6 linked regions of the Mus musculus genome follow. The protein of the gene in region 6 purifies or fractionates together with the protein of the main gene of each other region. This does not show direct contact. Links are inferred from orthologs where the notes say so. Each region holds a gene or a part of one and is shown on either strand. Other genes may lie near its edges. The genes, in order: Wdcp, Shq1, Epc2, Znhit6, Dpcd and Ruvbl1.

Region 1 (5,593 bases), on a different chromosome or scaffold from region 6:
AAACAACCTTTGGGAGTTGGTTCTTGCCTTCCACCATATGGGTCCTGGATGTGAACTTAGATGTTAGGCTTGGCAGCAGTCATCCTGACCTGCTGGGTCACCCTGATGACCCTCATTTTGGCTTTTTATTTTGTTGTTCTGATCTGGGAGGGAGGTGAGGCAGGGTTTCTCTCTGTAGCCCTGGCTGTCCTGGAACTCACTCTGTGGAGCAGACTGGCCTCGACCTCACAGAGACCCGTTTCCTTCCCAAGTGCTGGGATTAAAGGCGTGCACCCTTTAATAACCACCTGGGTTATTTTGCTGTTTTTTTGTTTGTTTTTTTTTAAATCACTTTTCTATTCCCAAACCCAACTACCGAACATATACCTTCAGCATATAAAAAAGTCCTTCTGAATCTGAGGATGTGGGTCATTGGTAGATTCCAGCCTCAGATGCTCAAAACCCTAGGTCCAATCCCTAGCACCCAAAGTAAAAGGAGTGAAGTTCTTTCAAAAAGCATCAAGACATTAAGGGCCTGTGTTATTTGCTACAGATACAACTTTCTAACTTGATCTGTTTTGGTCCTAAAGGAGGCAGAGGTAGCAGGATCTCTGAGAGTAAAGGGCAGCATAAGCCTCTACCTACCTACCTACCTACCTACCTACCTACCTATCTATCTACCTACCTATCTACCTACCTACCTATCTACCTACCTACCTATCTACCTACCTATCTACCTATCTACTACCTATCTACCTACCTACCTATCTACTACCTATCTACCTATCTATCTATCTATCTATCTATCTATCTATCTATCTATCTTGGGGGTGGGAGGGAGATACAGGCCGACCAGAGTCACATGGGGGGAGGGGGAAGAGTCTGAACACCACAACCATAAGGTGCACAAAGAGTCAGTGGGTTGACTTAGCCCATAAAAGTGTTTGCCATAGGACTGGTGAGATGGCTCAGTGGGTAAGAGCACCCGACTGCTTTTCTGAAGGTCCCAAGTTCAAATCCCAGCAACCACATGGTGGCTCACAACCACCCGTAATGAGATCTGACTCCCTCTTCTGGAGTGTCTGAAGACAGTTACAGTGTACTCACATGTAATAAATAAATAAATAAATAAATAAATAAATAGTGTTTGCCATAAAACCTGAGGTCAGTCTCAGAATCCCACAAAGTTAAGGGAAAGAACAAACTCACAAAAGCTGTCCTGCGACTTCCACAGATCTGCTGTAGTATGTGTGCCCCACCTCAGAAAAAACAAACCAAGCCCGGTGTGGTGGCGCACACCTTTAATCCCAGCACACGGGAGGCAGAGGCAGGCGGATTTCTGAGTTCGAGGCCAGCCTGGTCTACAGAGTGAGTTCCAGGACAGCCAGGGCTACACAGAGAAACCCTGTCTCGAAAAACAAAAAAAAAAAGGCAAGGGCTGGAGAGATGGCTCAGCAGTTAAGAGCGCTGACTGCTCTTCCCGAGGTCCTGAATTCAAATTCCAGCATCCACATGGTGGCTCGCAACCATCTGTAATGGGATCTGATGCCCTCATAACCATCTGTAATGAGATCTGATGCCCTCTTCTGGTGTGTCTGAAGACAGCTGTACTTAAATTAATTAATTAAATCAATCAATCAATCAATCTTTGGGACAAAGCAAACCAGGCCAGCAATCAATCAATCTTTGGGACAAAGCAAACCAGGCCAGAGCAAGAAGGGGAAAAAAAGGAGCCAGGCGGTGATGGTGCATTCTTTTAATCCCTGTACCGGAAAGGCAGAGGCAGACAGATCTCAAGGCCAACCTGATCTATAGAGTGAGTTCCAAGACAGCCAAGATTACACAGAGAAACCCCGTGTGTGTGTGGGGTGGGGTGGGGTCGGGGGGGAGGTTGGACAGATAAACAAAAACCCCAAACCAAATGGAAAAAGAAAAAGGATAAAATAAAAAAGAGAGAGGAAACAAAGTGTGCAGCTGTTTTCCCAGAGGAAGACGAGGTGCTGGATGCCAGAGGCGCTTCTCTAAGACAGAAAGACTGCGCTCACAGAATGTGAAGACTGAAAAATACTTGAGGGACAGCATGCAAAATTTTAGCTTGAGAAAGAGTTGAACCATTAGTCAGAGATGCAGAAGGCAGGCATGCTTTGAAGATGAGAAAGGTGTGTAGTATGTAAGGTATTTATTTTTCATACAGACCCTCACGTAGCCCAGACAGGCCTAGAGCTTCCTGTTCTCCTGCCTGCACTTCCTGAGTATTGAGAATAATACCGGTCCAGTTTATGCGGTGCAGGGGATGGAACCCAGAACCCTCTGTATGCTAGGCAAACACTCCACCGACTGAGATACTGCAAGCTGTGACAAAATTTAGTATTAGATGAGTTTTATGTAGTGGTATTAAACGTGTTTCATGAAGGTGCCTGTAAGGTAGCAGTAGATGTACCTTAGGCAGTCACAGGGAAGGATTTGGGAGTCACTGATGTAAGGTTAGTAAAGCCAAAGCAAGTAAGGATCTTATCATTTAACAAAACAAAACCTGAAAGCCAGTCAACATAGCCCAGCAGTTATCAGGGGCTTGTACACAAGCCTTATTTATACCTGAGTCCAACCCCTGGACCCCACAAAGTGGCAGGAGAGAACCAACTCACAAAAGTTGTCCTATGACTTCCAGCTATGCACCAAAGCAAGTGCACGTGCGTGCGCAAACGCTGAGGCGGGCGCGCGGGCGCAGGCACACACACACACACACACACACACACACTGCCTCGAGTCCAGCTAGGTCTAGGCTAGCACTGATTGCAAAATGACACCCAGTCTCAAAAAGACCAAACCAGATAAAAACCAAACCAAAACCAAAACTCCCCATCTAGCTTCCCAGAAGGATGAGAGACGTGAGACAGAGATACTGGCAACAGCTTAACTGATCATCCCGTTAGAGCCTCCTGGAATTAACCAAAAGCTCGGCTATTATCATTTGTAATTTAAACCAAGTTCTTAGTTCGGTTTGTTCAAACATCTCAAAGTTCGTAGGCGACTTTAACTTACTACAAACAAGGCTATATTCCTTAAGCTCTATTACCAGAAGTATCACTCGTGTATCCCAAGGGCACTTGTTAAAACCCACACCGTGAGCTTGCTTCTACTGCAGCCTGGTCCTCTTCCAACTCTCCCTCAACTTCTCCCCACGCCTACATCCCTGGGCCTGAAGTGCCACCCACTTCACACACACACACACAACGAAATACCTTAGTCTTCTGCCTCCCCGTCCCACACGTAAAATCCCGGGGCCGCTCACGTCACAGGACCGGGAATCAGAAGTCCCGGGCACCTAACGGAAGCCTCGGCCTTTGGACCTCGGAGATGCCTCTAGACTATTGGCTATTGAGTGCGTCACGTTAGCGGCGGGTCCTTCCGATGGCCATTAAGCGCGGGCTTTGCCGCAAGTGTTTCTGGGAGTTGTAGTTCCCGCGAAATCACCGCCCGAAAATCTTCACAATACACCTCAAGTGCTTCAACCTCTTTTCCCACGCAGGTCTCAACTGTTCTCTTAGAAGTGGTTGGCAAGAGCCGGGCGTGGTGGCACACGCCTTTAATCCCAGCACTTGGGAGGCAGAGGCAGGCAGATTTCTGAGTTCTAGGCCAGCCTGGTCTACAGAGTGAGTTCCAGGACAGCCAGGGCTATACAGAGAAAAAAAAAATTGGTTGGCAAGAGGGAATCGGAATTCTACAGTCAACATGTGTAAAAAGTTAGTGTTTAGTTTAGAGGGGAGTCAAGAACTCCACATTTAAAAATCCCATAAAATATCACTCCCAAAATGTAAATACATCCGTTTACCTGAAGCCAGCCTCGTAGGCCTGCCCAAGTAGCAGATCTGTTCTACCCCGATCTCAAAGTACCTGCCCAAGGCCATAACCAGTAGGGGGGTGAGGGTCAGGGTTGGAGGGTGGGGTGTCTTAAGCTTTTTTGTTTGTTTGTTTGCCTTAAGCCCTGACGACTCTAGGGCACACACACGGGTTTTTTTCTGATCCTAACGTGCACAGTACCGTAAACCAGCTTTTCTGAGCACCAACTTTAGTCCTTGTATCCTGGCAAGCTAGTATCTGCGAGCTAGCCACTTGGAAGAGTGGAGATGGAGAAACTGAGGAAAATGCGTCAAGTTCCAGTTCTGGGCCTTTGAATAAATAGGTCCTTCTCCCATACTCACCTCCCATTGGCTCTTGTCAGAAACAAATTCAGATCTGTGCAACGGGTGTAGAAAAGATGGGGGTGGGGGGCATTTCTTAAAGTCTCCTTCAGCCTTCAAGCAAATGTTTTCTCCTCCCAATGTATCTTCCTAGGGGCCATGGACGTAACCTCTGTTAGCTTAGCGTGAGTGAACAGGCCCTGGCTTCCCTGGATTCAAGTCCCAGGACCAAGGAAGCGGAATTCGGATTGGGGAAGGACAAAAGTATCTTTTTAGATCCTGGTTTGGTTTGGGTAGAGGTAAAAGAATTCATTCATTCCTTCTATAGCATTCACCATTCAGGCTGTCGCTGTATCTTCAGCACAGAGCTGATCCTCCTTTAATTCAGTTGGAATCCCCAGGGAGCAGTCCTTTACCTTGAAAGGTGAGACCTCCAATACATATACCTGCTGTAAAACTTTGAGGAATGATGAATGTGGTCTTAAGGTGGTTGAGGAAAATTCGTCAATAATTGGTTTCTTCCCTTCGCCGGCTCTGCTCCAATAGATTCGGGAAGCCTAACCCGGGTAGGTATCAGTCTCGGGTGCTTCCGTTTTACTCTGAACCCCACGGCACTGAGCACACGTATTTAAAGAGTTAGTTTAATTACCGACTTTCTCCTAGTCTGTAGGATTGAGTGGACTCCCTGGGGCTTTGCACCCTGTAGGTGCTAAATAAATATACACTGAGTGGATAGATGTGTGGATGTGCTAGTGCCGGCACGCCTCGCTCACCCTGCCTCCCCTTTCAGCCAGTGGGTTAATGGTGGTTAGTCTGGCCAGGATCCGGAGCAGCCACGTCAGGGTCGCTTCCCTCGGGCTCCGCCCCGGCCGACCCCACCTTGTCGCACAGCTCCACCCCGCCGCCCCCTTCCCGGCGGCCCCTCCCCGCGCAGGTCCTGACTCCAGCCGCACCTCCTCCGGCTCTGCAGTGGCGGCAAGAAGGCGAGCGGGAGTGCCTGCGGGGTCCGCGCCAGAGCGGAGCCGGGGTCGGGGCAGCCGCGAGGACCCCCTTGGAGGCGGGGCCTGTGGGACCGTGATGGGCGTGGAGATCGAGACCATCTCCCCAGGAGACGGTACCGGGCGGCTGGGCCCGGGAGGAGGAGGGGTCCCGGGGCGGAGTCCGCGGGCTGGGATCTGATTCCGAGGTGGCTCCGGGGACCTGAAGCGGGGAGAGGGTCAAAGATGCGGGCGACAGGAGGAGACCTCCTTCCCCGATTCTTGTGGGTTTCAGAGGACAACGCACCATCCCATTCTGCGCCCGCTCACCTTGGGGAGTGAAGGCGGCCACCTTAGGGCAAGGGGGTTATGTCCAGCCACTGTCCTAGGCTGCGGCTGCTATCTCCTGAGCTGCAACCTCTCGATTAACCGCTGCTACTGACTTCCCAGGTTTGA
Region 2 (4,033 bases), about 12 Mb from region 6:
ATGGAGGGGTACTGTTTACTGGCTTGTTCCTCGTGGAGCTTGCTCAGCCTGCTGTCTTATAGAATCCAGGAGCACCAGCCCAGTGGTGGCACCACCCGCAAAGGGCTAAGTACTTCCCTATCAATCACTAATTAAGAAAATGCTCCCATAGGCTTGCCTACAGTCTGATCTTATGGAGACATTCTCTTCATTGAGGTTTCCTCCTCCTCTCAAATATCTTTAGCTTATGTCAAGCTGACATAAACCAGCCAGCACAATACTATATTTGGACTGTGCTAGGTCCTGTAAAAGAAATGAGGGGGAAGGATGTCCAAGAGACTATAAGGGGGAAGAGGGAGAGTAGTGGGAAAGGCATTGGGAGAGTAAGCATAACAGAGGAACTAAAAAGAATAACGTGAAGAAAAAAGAGACAAAAGACGGTTTTTGAAGAGTGTATGAAAACAGAAAAAAGTGAAACAAAATCAAAAGGAAGCACAATTCTTCAGAGTCGGCGCTGACTGGGCATCTGGATTCTGATCCCGTTTAATCTCTCAGCTTACTTTTCCTTGGAGTTTGCAGTGTGGGTTAGATTAGAGGACACATATCGCACATATTCTGTTAATGAGAAAACTATTCAAAGAAGGGAATAAAAAGGAGAGAGGAAGCTGAGGGAGGGGTAGGAGAGGGGCGGGGGGGGGAGGTTTTTGGCATTACAGGTGAGAACTGAAAGGAACGTCACCTTAGGGACGTCGCTGTGGCTACTGCAGAACCTGCTTCTACTTGCTGAGTGCTGACTACTTGAAGGGTACAGAGCTCCTCATGGATTACTCCGTGTAATCCTCACAGCATCTGAGGAAGCTGGAATAATATTAGCCTCCTTTTATAGTAGCGGTGTCTGAAGTAAAGAGGAGTTTTGTAGCTCAAGGTCGTGCAACTGGGAAACACTCACATAGAAATTCAAAACCACTTTGTTGACTTAAAAAAAAACAAACCACAAGGCAGTTAAATAATTTCTAAGTCTCCCCATAGACGTTAATGAGTCTAAGGCGACTTCGTGTTCCCGTTAGTCCGTAAACGTCCCGGTTAGAGTTCCAGTTCTTCGAAAAATTTCCCTTAATTGAAGTTTCATAACAAGCCTGCAGGGCATCTTTCTCAATCTGTTTAAAAACTCCGCCCAGCTAGCGAAAGCGTCCCGTCTCCAAGGAGACTGGCGCAGGGCGGGACTTCCGGCCCCCACACGCACTCACTTCCGCCTCCGTCCGGAAGCGCTGTGGTACGGCGTGGGTCTGTCGCGCGGGGGAACTGATCGTGTGCCTAGCGGGGCTGTGTTGGCTTCAGGCGCGCGCAGCGATGCTTACTCCTGCGTTCGAGCTGACCCAGGACTGCGACTTCCTCACCGTCGCCATCCGCGTGCCCCACGCGCGCGCCTCTGAGTTCGACGTGTACTTCGAGGGGGTGGACTTCAAGTTCTACGCCAAGCCGTACTTTCTGAGGCGAGTTCCCGCCGCCTGCGTGCCGCTTTCATTCGGGAGCCCACGCTCGCGATTTACTCCGCGCTCGCGGACACAAACACTCTCGCGGGTCTCTTCGCTGCCGCCTCGGCGGCGACTTCTTCCAGGCTCGCAGTCTGCCTGCCGCACAATCACCTCCTGTGGCATCCGTGGATCCCGCCACCGAGCACGGGGCCACCCGCGCGGTGTCAGTCCGGTCACCCTCGTTCTCGATCTTTCCTGACTTGTGCTTTTCTTTCACTGCACGCCCGAGCCTCCCCCTATCCGTGGTGACCTCACGGCGTGGGCCGGTCCTTTGACTCCCGCCCGCATGTCATCTGCTTCCTGTAGTTCCCAGGTCTCCTGTTAGCATCAGATTAGCCAATTCTTTTATGCCTGGCTGCCCGGAGATGCGAGCAGTACTTAGCATTTACCATTCATTCATATCAGGTTTTTCTCCATGTTGAACCAAAATAGTAGTGGCAGCTCACACTCGCCACCTTCAGTGTGGTAGGCAGGCAGCTTCTTAGATGCGCACATGTCGTTTTAAGTCATTTTAATTCTGATAGCCGGACTTTGAGTTAAGCAGAACTAGTACCCCCTTGTACCGTGGACGGTGTGAGAGTCTTTCTAAACTTGCTCATCAGTTGCCCTCTGCTTTCAACGGAGTCAAGCTACAGTCAAGGGGTTTCTTCACTGCTCGAGTGGGAGCCACATTAGATCTTTATTAGCATACCAACTTGAAAATACAGTAGGTCACTCCCTACCTATGAGAGATACTTCCAGGACTCCTCAATGGATATCTGAAATCATGGCTAGTAATGAATCCTGTATATACTATTTTCTCTTTACCTATAAACCTAAGATGAAGTTTAACTTATAGATTAAGTTTAAAGTGAAGTAGAACAGACATAAATACGTTTGCAATTGTTTTTTGTGAGTTGTTCTCCCCCCCCCCCCCATTTTATTGGTAGTTAAAGTATTCGAATGGAAAGATGGGCCATTTGATTTTTTATTTTCTTAGTTGAAGAGTGAATCTAGATTATTTAGCTTGCAAAATGTGAAGCACTGAAAGTTGCCTTTCGAATGGTGGATAGATTTTGATGGCTAAAACTATGCTACGATTGATGATGGCCTTTCTTGTGTTAAATCTGCAGATTAACTCTGCCTGGAAGGATTGTGGAAAATGGATCTGAGCAGGGGACCTATGATGCAGATAAAGGTATGGTTTGGGGTTTTAGATAGATTGGTGTGTGTGTGTGTGTGTGTGTGTGTGTGTGTATGTATGTATGTGCACGCGCATGCCACCTGTGTTGCTAACGTTCCTTCCCTAGAAGGGGCATTCTCCTAAGGTCCCATTGAAAAACTAAATGTGATTCCATCAAAGTTCACTGGGAGAACCATTGAGTTTATTAAGTTATAGAGTAGTGGGTAAGGGGTTTAGGGCAGGAATCTTGGTAATCTTGAAGTAGCCACAGTAGACGATCTGCATGGCTTCCTCAGGGCTGCATAGATTGAACTCCCTCCCTTCAGCCTAGATTCTAGCTCTTCCCCCACGACCACATGCAGTTGGGGCAGAATTGGATCATACAATTCTGGTTGGGGGTGATGGTGGCTGCCCTCTCATTCTGTGAGGGACCGTAAATAGTCAGCAGGCTCGTCTGTGATGACCATTTGTGAGCTGAAGATGGTGGCAGTTTGGCTCCAATGATGGTACTGTACAACTGCATCTGTAGGTATAGATGTGGTGAGGGGAGGTGTATATGTGTAGGTTCATATGTGTGCACACGTGCAATTGGAAGCCAAAGGACCACCTCTGATGTCATCCTGAGGAATGTGTTAGAGATAAGGTTTCTTGCTTGTTGCTTATCAGTTAGGCTAGACTGGCTGGGCAGGAAGCCCTGGGAATATTCTGTCTCTGTCTCCCCAGCTGGAGGATTACACACATGCACCACTGCATCTTATGTTTTCATTTGGGTTCTAGAAATGAAACTCGGGTCCTCCTGCTTGTATGGCAAGTGCTTTACTGACTGAGCCATAGGCCCAGTCTTGGCTGGGATTTAGTGGATTCCTTATACTCAAATGGTAGTAGTCTCTAAAGATACCATGGGGGGCTTTCAGAGATGTCTAGCAATTGCTGTATGCTGTATAACTTTTTTTAATCTTTAGTGCCTATTATCTATGGATTTTTGACAGGTAGCAGTTTTCTCAGTCTTTTAAAGTATTTTGCAATAATCTTTAAATTTGACTCAAAAGTCCTAGTTTAATTTTCTGGGGTTGTTTCTATATTTAGCACATGTTTAAGGTAAACATCAACTCGAAATGATTGGCTTTATAATGGATGGATGGTTTATAAGCTTTTGAATGAAAACTTTCTTAAACAGTTTTCAAATTTAGATTTTTAATAACAGGTAGATGAGAAATTATGCATGGAAAAATATAAGAGTAATTGGATTTTCTATTCATGATTGACAAGCCCCCATCTTAAGCCAGCCACAAACCCCAGGAATTTTACACTTACTGCAGCTCCTGTCTTTTCTTTTGGACTGAGTTTGGAATAAGGG
Region 3 (4,994 bases), on a different chromosome or scaffold from region 6:
TGAGTGTGTACAAGTACATGGGCATATGTGCAGACCAGAGAACAACCTTAGGTGTAATTCTTCAGGTACTATCCACCCTTAAAAAAAAAAAAGACCTTGCTTGGAACTTAGCAAGGAGGCTCAACTGGCTGTCAGAGAGCTCCAGAGATGTGCCAGTCTCCACCCTCTTAGTGCTGGGATTACATGAATATACTACCATGCTTGGCTTTGTAAGTGTGTCTGTACATTCTAGAGCTCAAACAGAGGTGGAAAGGAATGGTATTATATATTGAAAAATACAAGAAAAATGGCAGATGGCATGTACACTTATGGTAATTTAAATGCTTTTTTCATGATGATACACGGATAATGTGCCTCAATATGATAGCTGATTGTTAGGAAAGTTTCAGTTATATTAAGTTATAATTTTGGATCAGTATATATTCAGAATTGATACAGCAACAGAAAACATATATTATCTTGAAAACATTTATGTCAAATCCAGAGTTCATTTAGGACATACGGTTGAAATCTGTAAATACTCAAATTGAGAATCCATTCAAATCATTTTAAACATGCTGTATGTTGGTAGAGTTAAAAAGCCAACATATAGTCAAACACAATTATCAACACCTATATTGGATATGTTTTGAATTTCCTTTTTGAACAGTGGTACAGAAATTTCTATTCATATAATTTTGAATAATCTTGGGAATTGGCTGGAAAAACGCAATACTATTTAACTTCCTGTAAAAACAGATTTCTAGAAACTCAAAAGATCTCAAATTATATGAGATATCTTTATCCATTTCAGATTAACAGGCTCATTAAGCTTCACCAACTCACAAAGTACAAGAATGGGGCATCATTTTCTTAAAGTTCAGCTAGGAGAAAAGGAGCCAACATATTTGGAGCAAACCAGTAAATAACATTCAGACAGGGGAGGATCTCCTGGGTCCCTGCACTACTCGGGGGAGCTAATGGCAACCTAGGGCTGCTGGTGGAGAGGAAGTCAGCCATCTTCTTCAGTCATGTAGCTACTGGTGAGTCATTCATACTCCAGTGAATAGATTCACTCCCACGTCCACAGTAAAGGCCATGATTAAACAAAAGCACAACAAAACAAAAAGGTAAGAAAATGGAACAGGGACTTGATAGGTGGGAGAGGGTCTTTGAAAGGGCAGGGAAGAAATAAGAAAGAGGAGAGGAGTATATGTCACCAGAATATACCATTTATGTTCATGGAACTGTTGAATAAGTTGTTTTAAAAATGAAATAAGAGGTTTTATTTAATACATTTCCACTGGCTACCATGCATAATTGTAGTGTATATATTATAAACATATCTATAAATTATATAAACTTGTAAACATGTAATTAGATTATCAACAGAATAAAACACATCAAAATTATATTTTGGAATACCTAGATATTCAAATTATTCTTAATGTATATACCATAAAAACACTAAATTATTTGAGCACAAACTCATTACATACATACATACGTACATACATACATACATAGGGAGGCAGGGCCTCAAAAGTAGCAGTGTAGTCAAGGATGACCCTGAACTCCTGATTTTCCTGTCTGTACCTTCCAAAGGTTGAGATTATAAACACATGTTAATATATCTAGCACAGTATCCCTTAAAATGAAAAAGATATTTCTGATCTCAATTAGAAAGGAAAGCATGCTGACGAAAATCACTATTCAATAGCATCCTTAAAAAAAATTTTTTTTTTCTAGAAAGGCTTTCAAGAGAACTCTCAAAGAGCAATGCTTACATTCCATCCAAGTCAATGAACACTTTTTTAACATAATAAATAGCATTGTAGAACAATGATCAGGAGGCAGCCAGTAAGCAGTAAACTCACAGGGAACACTGGGCTCAGCCCACACGCTTGCCACACCACTCACACGCAAAATTCGAGTCATTTATAGTAGGGTGCTGTCTCTTAGGCTGAGAACTGAACTGAACTACAATTTATCTTCCAAATAGAAGTAGGAAAGTAGGTCTCCAAAATGTATTCTGAGTTCACTTATTAGGTAATGGACACGAAGGAGAAAAGAGCAGCAGCAGCAGCAGCGATCTGACAGACCTTTAAATGCTTACCTGATATGCCGTTCTTGCTGGTGTTCAATAAAGCTACGGATGCTGCAGAAACTCTTTTACTGCTCACAGTCTGCCCTGGTTTTCTTGAGGTACATTCTTCACTATCAATGTCCTGTACATTTAGTAGCCTTGGCTGGAAACACTGTAGTCGACATGATCTGATATTGCTTAATATTTCAGAAAGAGACAGTCTATTTTCACAAGGTTTACTGGAAGCATTGGTCCGAGAGAAATTAGAAGAAAAGTCTATAGTTTGGGAAGAGCTTGAAAACCCGTTCAGCATCTCAGGGTCTATCTGTTTCAGGACGGGGTCATGTTCTGTGGATATTCGGTCCATTATGACCCTGTAAAGCAATATAAGACATACATGTGTATATCATATATAACTGTTTCTCTATTGATTGCCTTTCAGCTAGACAATGCTACAAGGTCAAAGCAGCTTACCTGCCACCTCTGCCAATTCGCCTCCTTGCAAATCCTATACATCTTCTTGGAACTGTAAGTGTCGTAAGACAATGCTTATACCTCAACTTATCCAAGTCTGCCAACTCTGAATTTTCACACATATGGTTATTAGCTTGGTCCAAACGCGGCTGCAAAGAAAGAGAAAAAAGATAACTCAGAGTAATTCTGAAATGAAGAAAAGTTAAATCATGATAAAAATAAAATGACTGCAAATTGTATTAGAACAATTAAAATTTAGATGAAAAACTGTAAAACTGAGGCTAAAATGTATTAATCCAGTTAAAATTTAAAAAATTAAAATCAAAAGCTAATCAAATTAGATAAAGTTTCCTTATCCAAATTACCCACTCTAAATTACATACACTTAGTATGTATTTAAAAGATACCTTTAAAGAATATGTTTTAGGTTTCTTTATATAGAGAGCGATAAAATTATTAATTTATAGCTTTTCTACATGATAAACTAGAATGACTTTTTTTAGGGGGTGCTAAAGGCAACTAAAAATTTAGTGGAAGCATATGTACAGGCTGAGCTTAAGTGTTCTTTGCTTTTAAGAAACGTAGAGCTTGTTTCTTGGCCTTTTTATTACATGTATCATCCTGTTTTTCTGTCTCAGCACTTTGTCCCCCTTGGATAGGAGTTTTCTCACCTTCTATCAGCATAACTTGAAAACAAATCCCTATCCTTCCTAAACCAAGTCTGCCCTCAAAAAAGCTGTCTATCTGTGCATAACATAATGCAGTCAAACGGTTTGCATAAACCATGCTAACAGGGCAAAACTACCTTTTCTACTCTATAGTTATATACCTGACAGAAAACTTTAGCACTGTGACGCCAAGGCCATTCTCTAAACACTGCACCCAAAATGGGACATTAATAACAAAAAGAGATTCCTAATGTATCTGAAATTTATGGATGAAATTATCAGACAACTTTGCCATAAACTATAAAAATATACTTATTGGGTCTCTCTCTCCCTCTCTCTTTCTCTCTTCTCTCTCTCTCTCTCTCTCTCTCTCTCTCTCTCACACACACACTTCAGTGAATATCCAGAAGTCACCAAAAGTTCTAAAGCCAACTTAAACATGTGCAATTAATTTTCACAACTGCTAAAGCTGTAATTAAAGCTCCAAATGAAGTAATTTTGAAAATAGGAGTTGTCTAAGTAATGAATTCTAATATTCTGTGAAAGAATTTGGCATCTTTCATCTTCTTCTGCTGGTATTCACATGCCACAGGAGGCATTAAATAAGGAATATTGATGCACTTCCCACTTTTAGACTGAGCCTACGTTACCTTGACATGAATGATCTGTTAATTCCAGCTCACAAAAATATGACAAAAAACAAAGTTCTTACAGCGTAATACTGGCATCCTGCCCGTCTTCTGAAAGCACAGGAACCGTCAGGGTCATTCTCCTCCTCAGCCTCTGAAGCTGGAGACAGCACCTGGGTAAAACAGTGCTCCATTTAGCAGTTACCAAGTTAACACATCAATGTACATAACGAATGAAAATAAAGGCAGATCACAAGCACCTTGCCTACATCCAGCAGCTAGCTAATTTGCCTGAAACATTAAATGACTGGTAAATATTTTCTGTAGCTAAAAATCTTAAGATTTATTCTTGCATCTAAGCACACTTGGTACTGTTTTTGAACGAAGGCTAGACATATCACTATAGTTTTTATATATCCCATTTATAGTCATAAATAGTTCAGGCATAAATGCTTGATGATGACAATTATGCCTCACCTATAGGTAGTTGTCATTTTTATCTGGACTTTCTTTCTATAATAAGGTCAAATGCTAGGAAGAAGTGGGCACTGGACTCTCTGGAAGCAGACAGAGCAAGCTGTGAGCTGCCATGTGGGTACTGGAAGCACACTCAGGTCCTCTGTAAGAGCAGCAAGTGAACTCAACCATCTCTCTAGCTCCTTAAATCACTGCTGAAACCTAGCAACTCACAAACAGAAATTTAGCGAAGTATATAAAAACACTGGTTGCTGAGAGAAAGTTTACGACTACAACAGTAGAGGAAAAGTGTAAAGAGTTGCTACATTAAAAAGGATTTTGCCAGGACCAGATGCTACCAGCCAAATATCCTTATATAATCTGAAAAGTATTCCTGGGAAAGAACTGACTCAATAGAGCACAGTTTTATGTCATGTCAGGCTAAGTGATGATATAGTATATATGATAAAATATACTTTGATACAGCAGAGAAACAATAAATATAACGTCCACAGTAATGGTTAAACAACACAAAGGCCTTAGTTCTTAAGTTTGGGTTGTCTCTCAATCTCACTTAGCAGTAATCTCTTTCCTCACAAAATGCCTGCCTCATCATATTAACCTGGGAGTTAAAAAGTCAAAAATCTCATTCCTTTTTAGAGGATTTTCCCCCCTCCACATTAATTCTAAACTGTGGTGACT
Region 4 (5,433 bases), on a different chromosome or scaffold from region 6:
ATTTTATAATATAATAGAATTTAGGGATGTTCATTAAGAACTGCTACCTGGTAACTTTCTGCATGTGTAACAGCATCTCTATACCAATAACATAGTTGTGTCAAAGTTACTGAAAATCCTAACTTCTCTACTAAAACGGTCTTTGATTCAATCACACTATTAATGAATTTTTCACTCATCAATTTCTTTCTTGTGTTTAACTACTTTGTGAAAATTGTGAACCACTTTCCAATGATTTCTAACAGCATTGCTGCCATGACCTCCACCCTCTGCAGCTGTCCTTCATGCTTCCAACCCCCACTGTTGCTCCCCGACACCAAGTGAAAGCCAGCCTTTTATTAAAATGTATTTTTACTTTATGTGTCTGCCCACATGAATGTGCATCCTGTGTGTGCCTGGTTCTGCTGGAGGCCAGAAGAGGGCGTTGGAGCATCTAGAACCAGAATCTCAGGGGTTGTACATCTCTGTGTAGCCCATGGTTCCCTGTAAGACCGAGTGCTCTCAACTGCTGGGCCGCCTCTCCAGGCTCTAGGCATTTTGTGTTTTCTTTTCTGAGAACAGGTCAAATGTAGCCTTGCCTGGCCCGGAACTCAGAGACTCACCTGCCTCCATCCCAAGTGCTAGATTAAAGGCGCCATTACGCCCCACCTCCCTTAGTCTCATGTTTACTCAGAATGCTTGGAAACTCTTACAGGTTTCCCTCATCCCTCCTTACTCACCGTGCTTCGGTTACCCTGCCCTGCTAATCCCCGGAGCACAGGCGTCCTGTTCCCAGCCTGCGTCTTTGCACTTCTGAGTCAGTCTTGCTATACATTCCTCCTGAATGCCGAGTCTGTGCCGCTTCTGCCTATGTTTCCACTCAGAGTTTCCCTCTAAATGTCTCCAACTGTCCACTTCATACCATTAGGTCCACTGCCTATCTGTCCCGTCTCAGGAAAGCTCATCTCTACCACTGTGCTGATAATCACACTCTGCGTAGTCCATGCCCCTCAAGCACCCTGTTCTCTTTACTCTCTTGAACCATCTTAACTTCCTCATGCACTTACATCTGTAAGAAATTCTATCTGCTGCTCTATACCTCCCAACTCCCCCACTCAACTACCTCCCCTCTACAGTACAAATGCCTGAGGGTAAGTACTTGGATCCATCTCAAATAACCAGAATAGCCCCACAGCGCAGTGACCACTTGATACAACTGAGAAATGAATAAACTGGGTGGAAGAGATCTGAACTTGAAAAGATTAGAAGAAATACTTACATATTTTTTGCGCTTTGGTCTTTTCAAGAAAGTATCTCTTGAAACCTTGTCTGCCGTTCTTGCCACGTCTTCCAAAAATCTATAGTCTTGTAATTTCAGAATGGACAAGTTAACGAGTGACACGGTGCCAGTGGCCAGAAGGCATCCCTGGGTGGTGCACAAAGTGACTTACCACTCAGGAGATTCATCTCAGTAAACTGCTGCAGCGACACATAAGCGGTCTTATCCCGGACTCCACTGCACGTCAGGTCAGCTTTGTGTTTCTTTACACAGGGCAAACTGAAGAAACAAACAGGAGGCAGCTCTGTACCTGAAGTCAGAGTGCACACAGGCAGGGAGTGAGGTAGGAAGCTACATATCTACCTGCAGGAAAAGCGCATGCAGCGTGGACATCTGTACTTCGCTTCTTCTGTCCCACAAGTCTCACACCTGTAAGAGTGCACCTGAGACTTAACACGCAAAATCAACTCTATGTATGTCCTTCCGGTCTTAGAATTTGGACTCAAGGGCATTTCACAGTTTACAGGCAGGTAGTCAAAGCAACTCTGATAAAGTATATGATAGCTGCTATTGGAAATCATGAAAATGTTTAAAAATGACATTTACAATGACGTGCAATTCAAGAAAACTGTATGAAAGAAGTCACTGGCCCGCCCATTTTTTTCTACAGGACTTAAGAGAATAATATGAATTGCTGATTTTTGTAGACCAGGCTAGGCTGGCCTCAAACTCAGAAATCCGCCTGCCTCTGCCTCCTGAGCACTGGGATTAAAGGCATGCGCTACCACGCCCAGCGATTTTTGAAATTGTGATTCATGGAGACTTTGTGTGTGTCTAGAAGTATAATCCATGAGCTACATATGAGTATTTTAAAAACATATACACCGGAGAAACAAGGAAGGATGAATCCCAGACTGGCAGCAATGTGTGCCCTTTCCCCAGTTCCACAGCGAATTCAGAATGAACACCCAAATAATGGTATGATTCATCTGTCCTCGGTCTTCTAGGGTCTGGTGATACTGAGAACCAAAGTGTACCTGGTACCAGTCAGTTCTATCAGCTCAAGGAGTTTGAGACTGAATCTGACCACAATCTGATCTTCTGTACTGTCACATGAGCACATTAAAGAGACTACATCCAAGAAACGAACATTCATAGGAGCCCGGAATAAATTCAAGAGTAAGTTGACATGTGTCTATTAGTCTACCCACTTGCTGGTTTTTGGTTTATATTGGATGGCGCCTCTAATCCTATTCTCTCTAAAAGAAAGACTGCGAAAGCGTTTCTTATTTAACAAGCTCTGGCTCCACAAAGGCCTTCTGATGCCCAGAATTTTCACTCCCTAACCTGGCCATACCCTTCTGGACACAGTCACATCACACTGTGTCCTCGAAAGCGTCACGCCCAACCTGAACTTCACCACTCAGACTTCAGGGACCCACGTCACGCCTGGTTTAACTTACCTCACTTTCTGCTGTTAAGGACTCGTCCACCCAGTAGTCTATTTCCCATCTGGGTTTTCTCCCCGCCCTACCTTGACAGAGCCAATTTCCTCTTGCTGCCCACTCGGGGGTTCATCTGGGGCTCTTCCTTCACCTTCGCGTCTTCCATCGCTTCGCTCTTGAGGGAACCCTCTTCTTTTATAGGCGCTGCATCCATCACTTGCTCTTCCTTTACGTTCTGACCAACAAACAACTCCTGTTTTATGGTCAAGTCCTCCTCCTTCACTTCTTCCCAGTCCGTCACCTCCTCCTTCACCTTCACCTTCTCTTCCTTCACTTCTGGCTCATCCACCTCCTCTTCTTTCACCACCAGGCTACTATCCGCCTCCTGCTTCACTTCCAACACGCCTTTCTCATCCTTCACCTCGGGCCCGCCCTCCACCTCCTGCTTCACCCACTGGCTGTCCGCAACACCACTGTCTAAATCCGACCAGTCTACTACTTCCTGCTTCACCACAGCTAAGTCCATCTTTATCTCCTCCGCATCCTCCGTGGTCTTAGTTCCTGCCAGTCCGTTCCTCTCCTCTCCATCGCCAGCTTCTGGGCTCCCGTCTAAGTCCCTGGCTCCCTCCCCACCAGCCGCAGGCCTCGGCCGCGCCCCCTCCGCTACCCTCTGGGAACCTCCTCCCGGAGTCCCTTCCTTCTCAGCTGCAGATTCCATGAGCTCACGAGCCTAGGCCGAAGCTGCCACTCCGTTCTTCACGGTGGCACCACCAAGCCAATAAGAGAGATTACCAAACGAACCGCCGACAGCGCCACACGTGCAGCAAAGCAGCCGCGGCAAGCTCTGCACGCCTGCGGGAAGCCGAGCTAGCCGTAAAGCAGCTGTTCCGGCCACGACTCTTCACGACGTGTAGCGTTCTTTACGGCACGGCGGCTTTCCGGCCCCACTCCTTAAAGCCAGGTGAGACCACGCCCACCAGGACTCCCACCCAGGGGCGGGGATCTTGCCACATCCTTTCTCAGGCGCTGAAACTGCTGTCTTGGGAACTGGAATTATTGTCTCAAATAAGTGACCCACTTTAATCAGTATTAAGGATTAATTCTAATAATGCATGGCAATAGATACAGACTCCCATGTTCCTCCAAAGTTTAGACTGTATAAAGCGGTGGTTCGTAACCTTACCAGTGGTGTGGATCTTTATGTTCCTCATGTTGTGGTGACCTCCAACCATAAAGTTATTTTTGTGTCTACTTCATAACTATAATTTTGCTACTGTTATGAATCGTACTATAAATACTCCTGGGGGGTGGGTGGAGAGGGGGAGCAGAGGTTTAGCAAAGAGGTCGCGACCCACAGGTTGAGAACCGTTGGTCTAAGGTTTCTTCACTGTATACTAGGGACCAGGACATCCAAAAACGCCTTTAATCCTAGCATTTAGAAGCCAGAGGCAGGAGGATCTCTGTAACCTTCAAGGCTAGCCTGGTCTACATAGTAAGTTCCTAGGGTCAGGGCTGTTTCAAAAACAAAACAAATAGGAGAAGGAAAAAGAGGAAGGGGAGGAGAGACACTCTCATCTGCTCCCACAAAGATTACATGAAACTATGCATGGGAACCAACTACAAAAAGATCTACAGCCGGCAACTGAAACGCTGGCTGTCACAGGGTAATTGTAGCCCCTAATATCCGTATAGTGAAGCACTATACCCCAATACCTCAGAATTTTGACTATATTCGAAGACAAGGCTTTTAAGGGCATAACACTTAAAATAAGGCCTTTGGCTGGGCCCTAGCCCAATCTGACTGGTGGTTTTTTGTTTTTGTTTTTTTGTTTTTTGTTTTTTTTTTTTTTTTGTTTTTTTTTTTTTTGTTTTTCGAGACAGGGTTTCTCTGTATAGCCCTGGCTATCCTGGAACTCACTTTGTAGACCAGACTGGCCTCGAACTCAGAAATCCACCTGCCTCTGCCTCCCGAGTGCTGGGATTAAAGGCACGCGCCACCACGCCCAGCTCTGACTGGTGTGTTTAATAAGAGGGAATTTGCATATAAGTGGGATGGATGCACGTAGAGAAGGGTACTGAAATGTGAGAAGTCATCGGTTTGCCAACCAGGGAAGCCTAAAAAGGCAGAATCTCTGACCTTTGACTTTTTCTATAGCTTCTTGAAATTTGAGAAAACAAAAAAAAATGTCTATTCACCCCAGGAAGGAACTGACAACAGACCAAAGGATTCCACTCAAGTCCAACTTGGTGAGCTGGTGATTGTATTGAGGTTATTTACAGAAGTGTCATTCGTACTTCTACCAATAACATTTGTGTTCTAATTAATAGCGGAAAAATACTGTCTATATATACCATGCTTTCTTCATTTGTTAATCTATTGATAGATACATAGGCTGATACCATATCTTGGCTGTTGTGAATAGTGCTTAATCAGCATGAATGGGCAGGTTTCGTTTTCCTTCCTTCCTCTGTCCCTCTTTCCCTCCCTCCCTCCCTCCCTTCTTTCCTTTCTTTCTTTGAGACAGAGTCTCTTTGCATAGCTGTGGCTGTCCTGATGAGTGTCCTCATCAGCTTTGTAGACCAGGCTGGCCTTGTTCTCACAGAGATCCACATGCTCTAATGTGCAGGGATTAAAGGCATGTGTCACCATGGCCAGTTTTTAATAATAATACTCTATAAATTTATTATTATTATTATTATTATTATTATTATTATTAGTTTTTTTGAGAC
Region 5 (5,454 bases), on a different chromosome or scaffold from region 6:
GGTGGACTTCACCAGCTGGGCACCAGGGGGTAGCTGGGGCAACCTGAGGAGCCGGAGAGCCCGCTCATAGTCCATGTCTTCATCCACCACAATGTGAGTGACTCCTGGGGCCTGGGCAGAGCACACCTGGCCGCCATGGTGGATAATCTGCTTCTCAAAGAGTTCAGCCCGGGCACGTCCAATGCCAGCGGGCATAATGTGGGCTCTCAGGGAGCTCAGCCATCCTGTGGAGAGGATATTCAAGTGGTATCACCATAGCTATTATTATTATTATTAATTTTATTGCACTATTATTTGAGATAGGGTCTCATGTAGCCCAGGCTGGCCTCAAACTGACTATGTAGCAGAGGATAACCTTGAGTTTCTGATTCTCCTGCCTTGACCTCTAAGAGCTGGGATTACAGTTGTAGGTCAGAGCTATAATGAACTGTTCGAAGCCACCTCCCTTCCTTTTCCTGCCATCCAGAGAACAAAATACCTTCAAAGAATTCTACCGCAAACGTACAACAAACTTCCTTTTTTTGGGGGGGGGTGGTTAGTTTCAAGACAGGGTTTCTCTGTGTAGCCCTGGCTGTTCTGGAACTCACTCTGTAGACCAGGCTGGCCTCGAACTCAGAAATCTGCCTGCCTCTGCTTCCCAAGTGCTGGGATTAAAGGCTAAAGGCTTGCTTGCTAGCGATACCCCCCAGGGGTTTTTTGTTTTTGTTTTTGCTTTTGTTTTGTTTTGTTTTTTTCAGCAAACTTCCTTTTTTGTTGTTTTGTTTTGCTTTTCGAGTTTGAGGCCAACCTGATCTTGGCCACAGGTTAGGTCACTTCTGTTAATCTGACTCTAGCTGAAAACAAGAAGGCTGAACGTTCCAGTGTGTGAGGGTGGACCGGCTCACCTCTAGCTTCTCCCACCTCCCTTTTGGGAATCTTTGCAAGTGCTTTTGAAGATAGATCTGCATGACTTTTCTTCCGCTTGGGAAAGGCCTTCACGATGCCCTGAGGGTCCATTGAAGGGCGCTGGATCCTGGCCTTTCTGTTAAAGGATTGAGAGCCAGCCCTTAATAATTTGGCATAGAGGTGGGGTTTAGGGGTAACAGGTCCCTTTCTCAGAGGTCTCGGAAACCCCAGTTAAACTTAAGTGATTTAATCCGAGTGCCACACACACATACCAGCCTTTCAACCCTAGTCGTACTGAGGGAAGCCAGGGAAAGGTTGGGATTCTTGTGGGTGTAGGGGAGGTGTGGATCGAAAGGAAACAACATGGGGTGGGGGTGGGGGGAGGAATATAGCGCAGAGTCAGCCTCTGCGTCCCCTTCCAAGAGACTTTTCCAAAATGATGACGGGTTTGGGAACCGGACTACATCTTTAGGAGAGTCTTCATCTCCCCAACGAATTGGAGTCTAAGGGACATGTCACATAAACCTCGCATCATCTTTCTCTAGCCTCAATGTGCATTCGCAGAAGAAAACCTGGGGAGTGAGGCTTCAGGGAAAGTTGTGGGCACGCTGCGCACCTGTCCCTGTCGCAGCAGCCCCATCGCGCGGGTCTGAGCCCCGCAGCTGCAGGGAGGTGGAGTGCAGCCGCAGCAGATGTAGGGAGCCCTCACAGCTGGAGGTGGGCAAGACCGAAGCAGACGTGCCACATCCACTGTGAGCAGCTGGTGTGAACCAGGGACTCCCAGCTGGGGCCAGAAGAGAGTTGGTGCTGGATCCCTAAAAGTTCTGGGAGCATCCCCACCCCACCCGGCCCCAGGACCGGTCCAAAGTAGGTTAGAATCTCCCGGCAAAGAGAAATAAACTCACCATGGGAGCCAATGAAAACGGATTGGGGGAGGAAGGGGTAGAGGGGAAAAAAAAAAAAAAAAATCAGTTCCCAGAATACTTCCCGGGTCATCCGGAAGTGATCATCGGTCGGGTAGTTGCCATGGCAGTGGCCCGGCGCGTTCCTGGGCGGAGGGAAGATGGCGGTGACTAGCTGGTTGGAGGTTTTGCGGTCGGCCGAGAAGACGGCACTGCTGCAGGATGGTAACTCGAGACCCCTCGTCCTTCCCCCCAGGGCGGGCTCTATGCGCCCGCTCCCCCAGGGAGGGCCTCAGCCTGGGTGGGCAGAGCTGGACCTGTCGCAGCAGCCTACAGCCATGCCAGCTTCCTGCTTTTGCAGAGGAAACCGGCCCAGGGAGATGACCCGAGTGGAACCCAAGTCTTTGGTCACCCACCTCAAGAGTTCCTTATATCATCTCTCCCCGCTCAGAGTTTTGTTGGTATTTCCCAATAATTCATTTTACATTCATCATCGTCCCTCAGGGCTGTACCAAGAGGCTAATTCTGCACCCCATTTGACTGACGAGGAAACTGAAACCCAGGAAGGTTTTAGACCAAACCCAGGTTTTGCAGATAATCAGGTATAATTCGTCATCTGGGATCCATGCAGCTCAATTTGGGGGTCCTATTGATGACAGCAGCCCCAATGGCATAGAAAGGAGACACCAGGGTTTTAGATCAACTCTAACATCGATTCACCTCTTCAGTTGTTAGGACCCCATTTTCTTCAATTATAAAATGAAGTGGGTGGGCTACCAGTGTTGTTTCTAAGGTCCTTGTTTTCTTTTTCTTTTCTTTCTTTTTTTTATTTTAAAGATTTATTTATTTTTTTATTATATGTAAGTACACTGTAGCTGTCTTCAGACACACCAGAAGAGGGAGTCAGATCTCGTTACGGATGGTTGTGAGCCACCATGTGGTTGCCGGGATTTGAACTCAGGACCTTCAGAAGAGCAGTCGGGTGCTCTTACCTGTTGAGCCATCTCACCAGCCCAGGTCCTTGTTTTCTAACTATGTTTTGTTTATGATGTGGATTTTAAATTGCCCCCTGATCTTTAGGGGAGATAGAGCAAGGGCTAAGGTCTAAATGACTAAGAACAGGAGCTTGAGATGTCAGCTTTTCCTCATCCTGCAAGTGGCCAGTTTAAGTGCCCTGTGCCCCTGAGGTCTTTCACAGACCCACCCACCTGGCAGCCAGGGTGCCTTAGGTCTGAATTCCTGAGGCTTTAAAGCTAACAGCTAGCTTTAAAACATCCACAGGCAGGTGCCTGAAGTTTACAGAAATTAAAATCAGGTTTCATTTGCTCCTACCCTACAGCATTTAGGGAACCCATTGCCATGTGCCAAATTCTGTGCTAGAGCAGATAGAAAAAACAGACAATAGCAAAGTTAAAACAAACAAGAAGACGACAACCATGGCTTATGCTTTCCTGGGATCATAAAATTATCAAGAAAAAAATATGTAAGGAAATAGCAGCTTGTATTAAATAGAGGTTGGGATCTTAGAAAGGCAAGGATAGCCCCATGCCTGCCATCTCTGCACTCAGGAGGTCAAGGCAGGAGACTCAGGAAGGAATGAAGGAAGGAAGGAAGGGAGGGAGGAGGGAGGGAGGAAGTCAGGCAGACAGACAGGAAGGAAGGAAAGATTGAGATAGTCTGTGAAATGCTAAGAAAGCACAGAGGTGAAAATAATTTTCTCTTTGGATAATCACTAAATAGAAGAGGTGATATTCTAGCCCCTAAGGAATTTTTAATAGTTACTTGGTAAGTGGAGATGAAGGAATCACACATAGAGACAAAAGAAGTGTGCACATGTATAAGTGTGAGAGTGTATGGCAAAATGTCAAGTATTAGGAAAGAAGGCACCATTCGGGGACTGCCTGCACAGCATCCGGGGCCAGATACAGGGAAAATAGGCTGTAAGAGGAAGTGGGAGAAAATGGAGAGATGCAGACTGATGGCCATGTGTCACAGCCACACAGTATGCAGCTTTGGGACACACTTTACAAGACAGAGGTCTTTTTCTTTGAGACAGGGTCTCACTATGTAGTCTTGGCTGCTCTGAGCTGGCCTTGAATACATTCCGGCCTAAGCCATGTACTGTCATGCCTGACCCAGTTTTGGTTTTTTGGTTTTTCGAGACAGGGTTTCTCTGTATAGCCCTGGCTGTCCTGGAACTCCCTTTGTAGACCAGGCTGGCCTCGAACTCAGAAATTCGCCTTCCTCTGCCTCCCGAGTGCGCCACCACACCTGGCTCCCAGTTTTTGTTTTTATTTTATATAACACACACATACATACATACAGCACAAAATGTACTGTCACAATCAATTTTAGGTGTGTAGTTAGGGGTCACTAAGGACGGTCCTGCTGTTTGCACCTGTCACCAATATCTAGCTCCAAAAGTTTTCATTCTCAAAGCCAATACTCTGCACCCAGAAAACACAACTCCACACCCCTCTTCCTCAGCCCCTAGCTACTTTGTATTTCAATTAAATTGACTAAGAGATTTATGTAAATGGAATCAAATAATATTTAATTATGTCACAGAGCAAAAGGTTTTCAGAGTTCATCAATGTCATCATGTGTATCCAAATTTCCTTTTTAATTTTTTTTTTTTTTTTTGTGTGTGCTTATGTGGAGGCCAGATGTCAGACTAGGGTGTCTTTCCTCACAGTTGCCACGGTGGTTTTTACTCTTTAAACATTTGTGTGTGTGTGTGTGTGTGTGTGTGTGTGCGTGCGTGTGTGTGTGTGCTGCGTCTGCGTCCCCCAGTGGAGGAATTATATGTTCATGTCACTGCCCCAGTCTATGGATGCTGGGGATCCATCAGGCCCTCAAACTTGAATGGCAAGCTCTCTGCTGACTGCATTCCACCCCTGCCCTGCCCCCAACATCATCCTTCTGTTTTCAAGCTATTCCACTGTAGGTGTGTACTCCTGATCTCTGTTCCTTCGTCTATGGACGGGTGCTTGGGTAGCTCCTGCCATTTGATTGTTGTGAATAGTGCTGCTTTGAACGTGAACATGCCAGTGCGTGTAAAATCTGCTTCTGCTGCTTTGGGTCATGAGGTAGTATTTGTGGGGTGTGTGATGCTCTCATGTGAGTTGCAGGAGCACAAAGACAGGGTGTCACGTGTGTGAAGTCCAGGCCTTTGCTTTAATCCTCTGTTACTCTCTGCCTAGGGCAGCCTTTCACTGAAGCAGCAGCTCCGTTTTGGCTTTGGGGACCTGCCTGTCTCTGCCCACCAATGCTGGGGTTACAGGCATGCACTGCCACACCTAGCTATGTAGGGTGCTGATGAGTCCAACTCAGTTCCTCATGCCTGCAGAGCAAGTACTCGTATCTGTGAATCAGATTTTTAAGGGTGCTGAAACGTAGGGTCTGCCAAGAGACCTTGCAAGTTTGGGGTCAGTGGACTGAAATACCAGTTAGCAATGACTCGGGGAACTGTGTCCTAGAAGAGTGAGTTACACAGGACAAAGCCACCTCAGGGTTCCTGTTCTTGAAGCTGATGGAGGGTACACGTCCACTGCCTAGGAAGACCCTTTGTCAGTCTTCCCGAGGAGGCTGCCTGTATCCATTTACCTGCCTGTAAGAAAAAGAAGAAATTACACAGCTCTGCCCTTGAGCGAGTGCTTGTGGGCTG
Region 6 (4,994 bases):
ATGAGGAAACAAGGCTCTAGAATCATGAGCCTATCAGAAATCCAGCCTGGTAAGCTGGCACTGGCAAGTTCTATGATAGAAAGGGCCTGGGCTTCTAGAGGGCAGGTGAGGAGCATAGGAAGGTAGAACAGAAAGGGACAATAGGGCTGTTGGTTCTGTGGTCAGCGTCATCCATATAAGGGCAGCCAGAGCCACCCTTAGGGACCCTGTTTTCACTCCTTTATGGCCTATGAAGCTAAGGAAGTTGAGAGATATCTTGGTACCCTGTGGCTGGCTTGTGGGCTCACTTGCCCTCCTCTCCTGGACTATTCACCCTTATCCTATCTGACATGCTCCCCACTGGGGGATGCTCTATGCACTTGTTAGTCCTCTGGATATACCATAGAGAGGCACTTTGTAGCATGTTAAAAGGAAGTCAAACATGCCTTGCAGTTCTCTGAGTCACCCTTGTTTTCTTTTCAGCTGGACCCCAGTATTTTTGAAAGTTTGCAGAAAGAACGAGTAGAGGCTGGAGATGTGATTTACATTGAAGCAAATAGTGGAGCTGTGAAGGTAATGTCCTCCCTGGGACAAAGCACTAGGCCTGATTTGTGAGTCACGAAGACCCAGGTGCTGGAGGAGGTGGGCACTGTCTGGGGCCATGCCATGGGAAGGACAGAGTTGTCCCTCTGCGAATTATAAAGTTTCTTTTCCTTATCTTCATTCTTTAACCTTCTCATCGTGAAAAGAGACAGTCTGTTAGAAATACTAAGACCTGTTTAGAGGGGGAGAACAGGGTGAGAGACCAAAACAACTTTAGTCATTTTCAAATTGAAATGTGCAGTGTATTTAATCTTCCTTTATCTCTCTGGTATTTTCTTCCCAAGATATATGCATGTGGGAAGGAATGCGGCATTAGCTGGCATTCTTTTCGTATCTGATTCCCAGTGTCCTGTACAGTGTTGCTCACTGTTTAATGGATGAGCATAATACTTGATATCAAGCAGTAAATCACCCACCTACAAAAGAGTCTGAGCAGCTCCCTCTGTCTCCAGTTAATCTGCTGGATTTGCCCTTTATCGGGAAGTGCATACAGTTACGGGTGTTGGGGACTCTGGAGAAAGTATCGGGTATCTGTGACCCGCCGGTAGCTTCCTTCTCTTGGCAGAGGGTAGTGGGCACACTGGGTTGGGCACATGGGGGGATTGTCAGGGAGGCTGTCGTTGTTAGGCTGCAGTTGGGACCCGACCCTCTATCTCACTGAGCTCTGCCATTTGAGGGCTGGGCAGTGAAAACCCACACAGCATTCACTGTCTCTCTGTCTACAGAGGCAAGGCAGGTGTGACACCTATGCCACAGAGTTTGACCTTGAAGCTGAAGAGTACGTCCCTTTGCCAAAGGGAGATGTGCACAAGAAGAAGGAAATCATACAGGATGTGACCTTGCATGACCTGGATGTGGCTAATGCGCGGCCTCAGGTACTGCTGTGCTGCTGTGGGAGGAGCTCTCGGGCAGCCTTTTGTCTCTGCCTGGAAGCTCTGGGGATGAATCGGCAAGGTCTTGCTGCCACTTTGGAGGCAGGCGCTCCTTTTCTCTCTGTGATGTTCGGCAATTAACATGGGCATGAGCTACGCAGCACTCCTTTGTTCCCATTCTAGTGCACCAGTCACAGATGATTTCCTGGGCTATTTCTTCTTGCAGCCAAGCCTCCCGCCCTGAGCTAGCCAACTTCCTCCCTGGCTTCTCTCCAGCAGTGACTTGTGCCTGGATGCTCTAGGTATTGCTGACAGGAGGGCATGAGTGCTGTGTGAACCCTCACAGGGTTTCTGAAAGCCTCGCACAACTGTGACCTCCCTCCACTTAGCAGAGCCTTGCCACCTTTAGCTTTGAGCTGGACCCAAGCCCGCAACTCTGGAGGGACAGTAAATATTTAGACCTTGACTGATAACTGTAGGAAAGGATGTCATTCCATAGCCACAATTCTGAGGGACATGATTCAAAGAACCAAAGTACACAAATTCCTTACTGGTGGCCTTTCAGGTTACATTTATCTTCATCCTCCCTAGGCCACCTCTGCAGCAGCAGTGGAGAATGGGCCCATCGAGGCTTTGTTCAAGAGATTGTTGACATCAGTCCTAGACCAGCAAGTGCCTTTAGGAGGTAGATGTCTGTCTCCAAACTGACCTCAGAAGCCTCTGCTTTAGGCAGAGTGTGGGGACAGAGTGTCAGCAGAGCAGCTTCCTAACAGGAGGGGCCTCGCAGGAAGATGGCACAGACAGCCAGAGCTTTGAGTCATAGCTTTGGTCCTTTGTGCATAATCCAGGAGTAACAAATTTTAAAAGATAAAGTGGGAGAAGAGGTCACCCTGTTCACTCTACTCCCAATGGAAAGAGTTTGTTTGATTCCTAGAGGTCTGGAGCCTGTGAAGTTCCTCTGTGTTTAGAAGCTTATCAAGGAAGCTGGGCATGATGCCACCCACATGCCTTAATCCCAGCAGGAGGCAGAGGCAGGTGGAGCTTTGAGTTCAAGGCTGCCTGGTCTACAGTGCAAGTTCATGGACAGCCAGGGCTACACAGAGAAACCCTGTCTAAAAAAATGTACATACATGAAAACACATACATGAAAATATAAACTTTCCAGGGGGCTTGTGTTGGCATCTCCAAGTGAGTTGACATTGGAGACCAGTAGGAAGCAGGGGAATTAGGTTTGGTAGCCTCCTTAGACAGCATGGTCATTCAGTCTTCTCTGGCTGACTGAGTCTTCTCTTTTCCAGGGTGGGCAAGATATTCTGTCTATGATGGGCCAGTTGATGAAGCCAAAAAAGACAGAGATCACAGGTAAGAGCTGGTGATCTGCCTGCCCCCAGAGCCTACAGTAGATCAGGACCCTGGGTGCCAAACCCAGTGGCTGTATGTGCTCCTCTAAGTAAAATAAGCGTGGTGATGGTGTCTTCCCTCCTCTGAGATCACAGCTTAAACCTTGTCATCTGTGCTCTGTTTAGACAGTAGTGTGCTCTCTGGTCCTGGGCACCTAGAGTTTCTGGTCCCTTTGGGGTCCTAGGGATGTTGAGAAGTGGAGCGAACTCTGCTGCCATGGCAGCACCACCTTCTTCCCTCTGCCCTGCTCTGGTGTGGCCTTTATACTCTTCCCACCTCTGTTATCGTTTCCTAGCAACCTGTAGGTTGGTGACTGTGTGTGAAGCATGAAGTCTCTGTGATCTTGGAGGTCTCAGCTGGACGAGCAGCTGAGACGGTTCTTCCAGATCCCAAGAGCAGCTGTGTCTGGATTTTGCCTGGCTTTGTGTGGCTGATGAGACAGGGTTTCACTGGTTAGTCTAGGATCACCTTGACTAAGAGATGCTGCATTTCCTCCTCAGCCTTCCTAGTTCTGGGGTCACAGGTGTGTGTGCTGCATGCAGCAGCAACCACTGTAGTCTTTTGCCCTGAATTTGCTCTTTGTTCTCAGGCAATTCTTACTGGTAGATTTGGTAGAAGAGGTAGCAACTCCAGCAGATCTTACAGTTCTGTTTATGACCAGACCCTACTGCTGCGGTTAAGACTGGGCTGTGACTCGTGGTGGCCTATTTGACTATGGATAACATCTTGTAAGGCCTGAAACCATCTTCCTGTTTGGAGAGGACTGAGACTGCGTGTGATTGAAGGCAACGTCACACAGGGCCATAAGACAGGGTCATTCACAGAGCACAACATAGGAATATTTGCATATGAAAACTCCTGTCGTCCCAGGCTCCCAAATCTGCTAGACTTGAGTTCTAGTGGGAGCTGGACATCGGGTTGGGAGGATGAGCAATAAGGCAGGGTGGGGCGTGTGAGGAGGTCATGGCCTTCCTGTGCACAACCCACTTGGGGTTAGCCAAACAACTTTAGGGAAAGCTGCCAGTTCTGTGGCCTTTAGGTGTGTTTGTTCCTGTTTTAGATGATGTAACTGAAGCTGGAATGGGGCCAGGGCCTGCTGGGGCCTCACAGTTGGGGAAACAGGTGTAGGGTGGGTTTGGGTGGAAGTCCGAGCTCAGAGCGGGAGCTATTTGCTGGTGCTGACCCTGCCATCCCACATCTAGATAAACTTCGAGGGGAGATCAACAAAGTGGTGAACAAATACATTGACCAGGGTGTGGCCGAGCTGGTCCCTGGAGTGCTTTTTGTCGATGAGGTCCACATGCTGGATATCGAGTGCTTTACCTACCTGCACCGAGCCCTGGAGTCCTCCATCGCCCCCATTGTCATCTTTGCATCCAACCGAGGCAACTGTGTCATCAGGTAGGGCCTCACGCCTGCTCCAAGGCTTCCCACCTTCCTTCTGAACGAGTGTTCTCCTTGGTTCGCATGCCTGCATGCCATGAGGCAGATGGGGAAGAAGCAAGGATGTGTCTTGGGTTGTTCTGATGAGGAAGGTCTTCCCAGGGGTCTTTTGGGCTATGGAGTGTGCGAAGTAATGGTCGCATAGGGGCTGGTCTTTAGTGGGATGTCATGAGCTAGCTAACTTCCTGTCTCCTGCAGAGGGATAGGTATTGCTAGCTTCACTTCAGGTGAGGGAACTGAATGGTGTAACTCTTCCCACCCCAGACCTTTCTTGAGAGGTTCAGTAGAGCCCTGGAGAGTGGGTCTTCGTACAGTCTCTCCTGTGTTAATACAGCCCCAATGCTGGGGTGGAGGGGTTTTCCAGACTCACTTTTTCCTAAGTACTCTGAGCCTGAGCTGCAGAGAATGTACCAGCTTTTGTCTGAGGCCCATGTCAGGTTCTCATGTGCGGTTTTAGTGCCCTAGAGGTTTTCTGTGGTCCTGTGGGACAGTCAGGGCTGGTCTCTGCAGTGCTGGGATGTAAAGGGCTTCTTTTCAAGCCCACAGCTGTTCCAAGAGACAGTGCCCTGGGGCTGTGTGATCTTGACAGTGGTCACTGGAGACACTATGGTCCTATGGCCCTCGAGTATTCAGGACAGCCGAAGCCACCCAGACTGCTGGCTTGCCTGTCCATGATGGTGGACCATATAGAATGCC

The links.
Region 1: the proteins of Ruvbl1 (region 6) and Wdcp purify together in Homo sapiens (affinity purification with mass spectrometry; 6 studies listed by BioGRID and IntAct, counting the BioPlex papers as one, with this or other methods). This does not show direct contact. The link is inferred for Mus musculus from reciprocal best matches to the Homo sapiens genes RUVBL1 and WDCP.
Region 2: the proteins of Ruvbl1 (region 6) and Shq1 purify together in Homo sapiens (affinity purification with mass spectrometry; 3 studies listed by BioGRID and IntAct, counting the BioPlex papers as one, with this or other methods). This does not show direct contact. The link is inferred for Mus musculus from reciprocal best matches to the Homo sapiens genes RUVBL1 and SHQ1.
Region 3: the proteins of Ruvbl1 (region 6) and Epc2 purify together in Homo sapiens (co-immunoprecipitation; 3 studies listed by BioGRID and IntAct, counting the BioPlex papers as one, with this or other methods). This does not show direct contact. The link is inferred for Mus musculus from reciprocal best matches to the Homo sapiens genes RUVBL1 and EPC2.
Region 4: the proteins of Ruvbl1 (region 6) and Znhit6 purify together in Homo sapiens (co-immunoprecipitation; 3 studies listed by BioGRID and IntAct, counting the BioPlex papers as one, with this or other methods). This does not show direct contact. The link is inferred for Mus musculus from reciprocal best matches to the Homo sapiens genes RUVBL1 and ZNHIT6.
Region 5: the proteins of Ruvbl1 (region 6) and Dpcd purify together in Homo sapiens (affinity purification with mass spectrometry; 6 studies listed by BioGRID and IntAct, counting the BioPlex papers as one, with this or other methods). This does not show direct contact. The link is inferred for Mus musculus from reciprocal best matches to the Homo sapiens genes RUVBL1 and DPCD.

Annotation. Positions count from the first base shown.
Region 1 is NC_000078.6:4,841,080-4,846,672, reverse strand, and holds the start of Wdcp (WD repeat and coiled-coil-containing protein), read right to left. Parts: upstream 3,371-5,593; 5' UTR 3,222-3,370; intron 1-3,221. Other genes in the region: peptidyl-prolyl cis-trans isomerase FKBP1B, read left to right, coding at 5,238-5,274.
Region 2 is NC_000072.6:100,668,358-100,672,390, reverse strand, and holds the start of Shq1 (protein SHQ1 homolog), read left to right. Parts: upstream 1-1,233; 5' UTR 1,234-1,329; coding exon 1,330-1,472; intron 1,473-2,626; coding exon 2,627-2,691; intron 2,692-4,033. UniProt on the Homo sapiens protein: Required for the quantitative accumulation of H/ACA ribonucleoproteins (RNPs), including telomerase, probably through the stabilization of DKC1, from the time of its synthesis until its association with NOP10, NHP2, and NAF1 at the nascent H/ACA RNA.
Region 3 is NC_000068.7:49,534,270-49,539,263, reverse strand, and holds part of Epc2 (enhancer of polycomb homolog 2), read right to left. Parts: intron 4,010-4,994; coding exon 3,920-4,009; intron 2,689-3,919; coding exon 2,540-2,688; intron 2,440-2,539; coding exon 2,096-2,439; intron 1-2,095. UniProt on the Homo sapiens protein: May play a role in transcription or DNA repair.
Region 4 is NC_000069.6:145,574,356-145,579,788, reverse strand, and holds the start of Znhit6 (box C/D snoRNA protein 1), read right to left. Parts: upstream 3,582-5,433; 5' UTR 3,422-3,581; coding exon 2,793-3,421; intron 1,688-2,792; coding exon 1,622-1,687; intron 1,538-1,621; coding exon 1,431-1,537; intron 1,345-1,430; coding exon 1,259-1,344; intron 1-1,258. UniProt on the Homo sapiens protein: Required for box C/D snoRNAs accumulation involved in snoRNA processing, snoRNA transport to the nucleolus and ribosome biogenesis.
Region 5 is NC_000085.6:45,558,696-45,564,149, forward strand, and holds the start of Dpcd (protein DPCD), read left to right. Parts: upstream 1-1,889; 5' UTR 1,890-1,948; coding exon 1,949-2,012; intron 2,013-2,291; exon of another isoform or gene 2,292-2,389; intron 2,390-5,454. Other genes in the region: Poll (DNA polymerase lambda), read right to left, coding at 1-224, 885-996. UniProt on the Homo sapiens protein: May play a role in the formation or function of ciliated cells.
Region 6 is NC_000072.6:88,481,656-88,486,649, forward strand, and holds part of Ruvbl1 (ruvB-like 1), read left to right. Parts: intron 1-462; coding exon 463-552; intron 553-1,307; coding exon 1,308-1,457; intron 1,458-2,752; coding exon 2,753-2,816; intron 2,817-4,057; coding exon 4,058-4,256; intron 4,257-4,994. UniProt on the Homo sapiens protein: Possesses single-stranded DNA-stimulated ATPase and ATP-dependent DNA helicase (3' to 5') activity; hexamerization is thought to be critical for ATP hydrolysis and adjacent subunits in the ring-like structure contribute to the ATPase activity.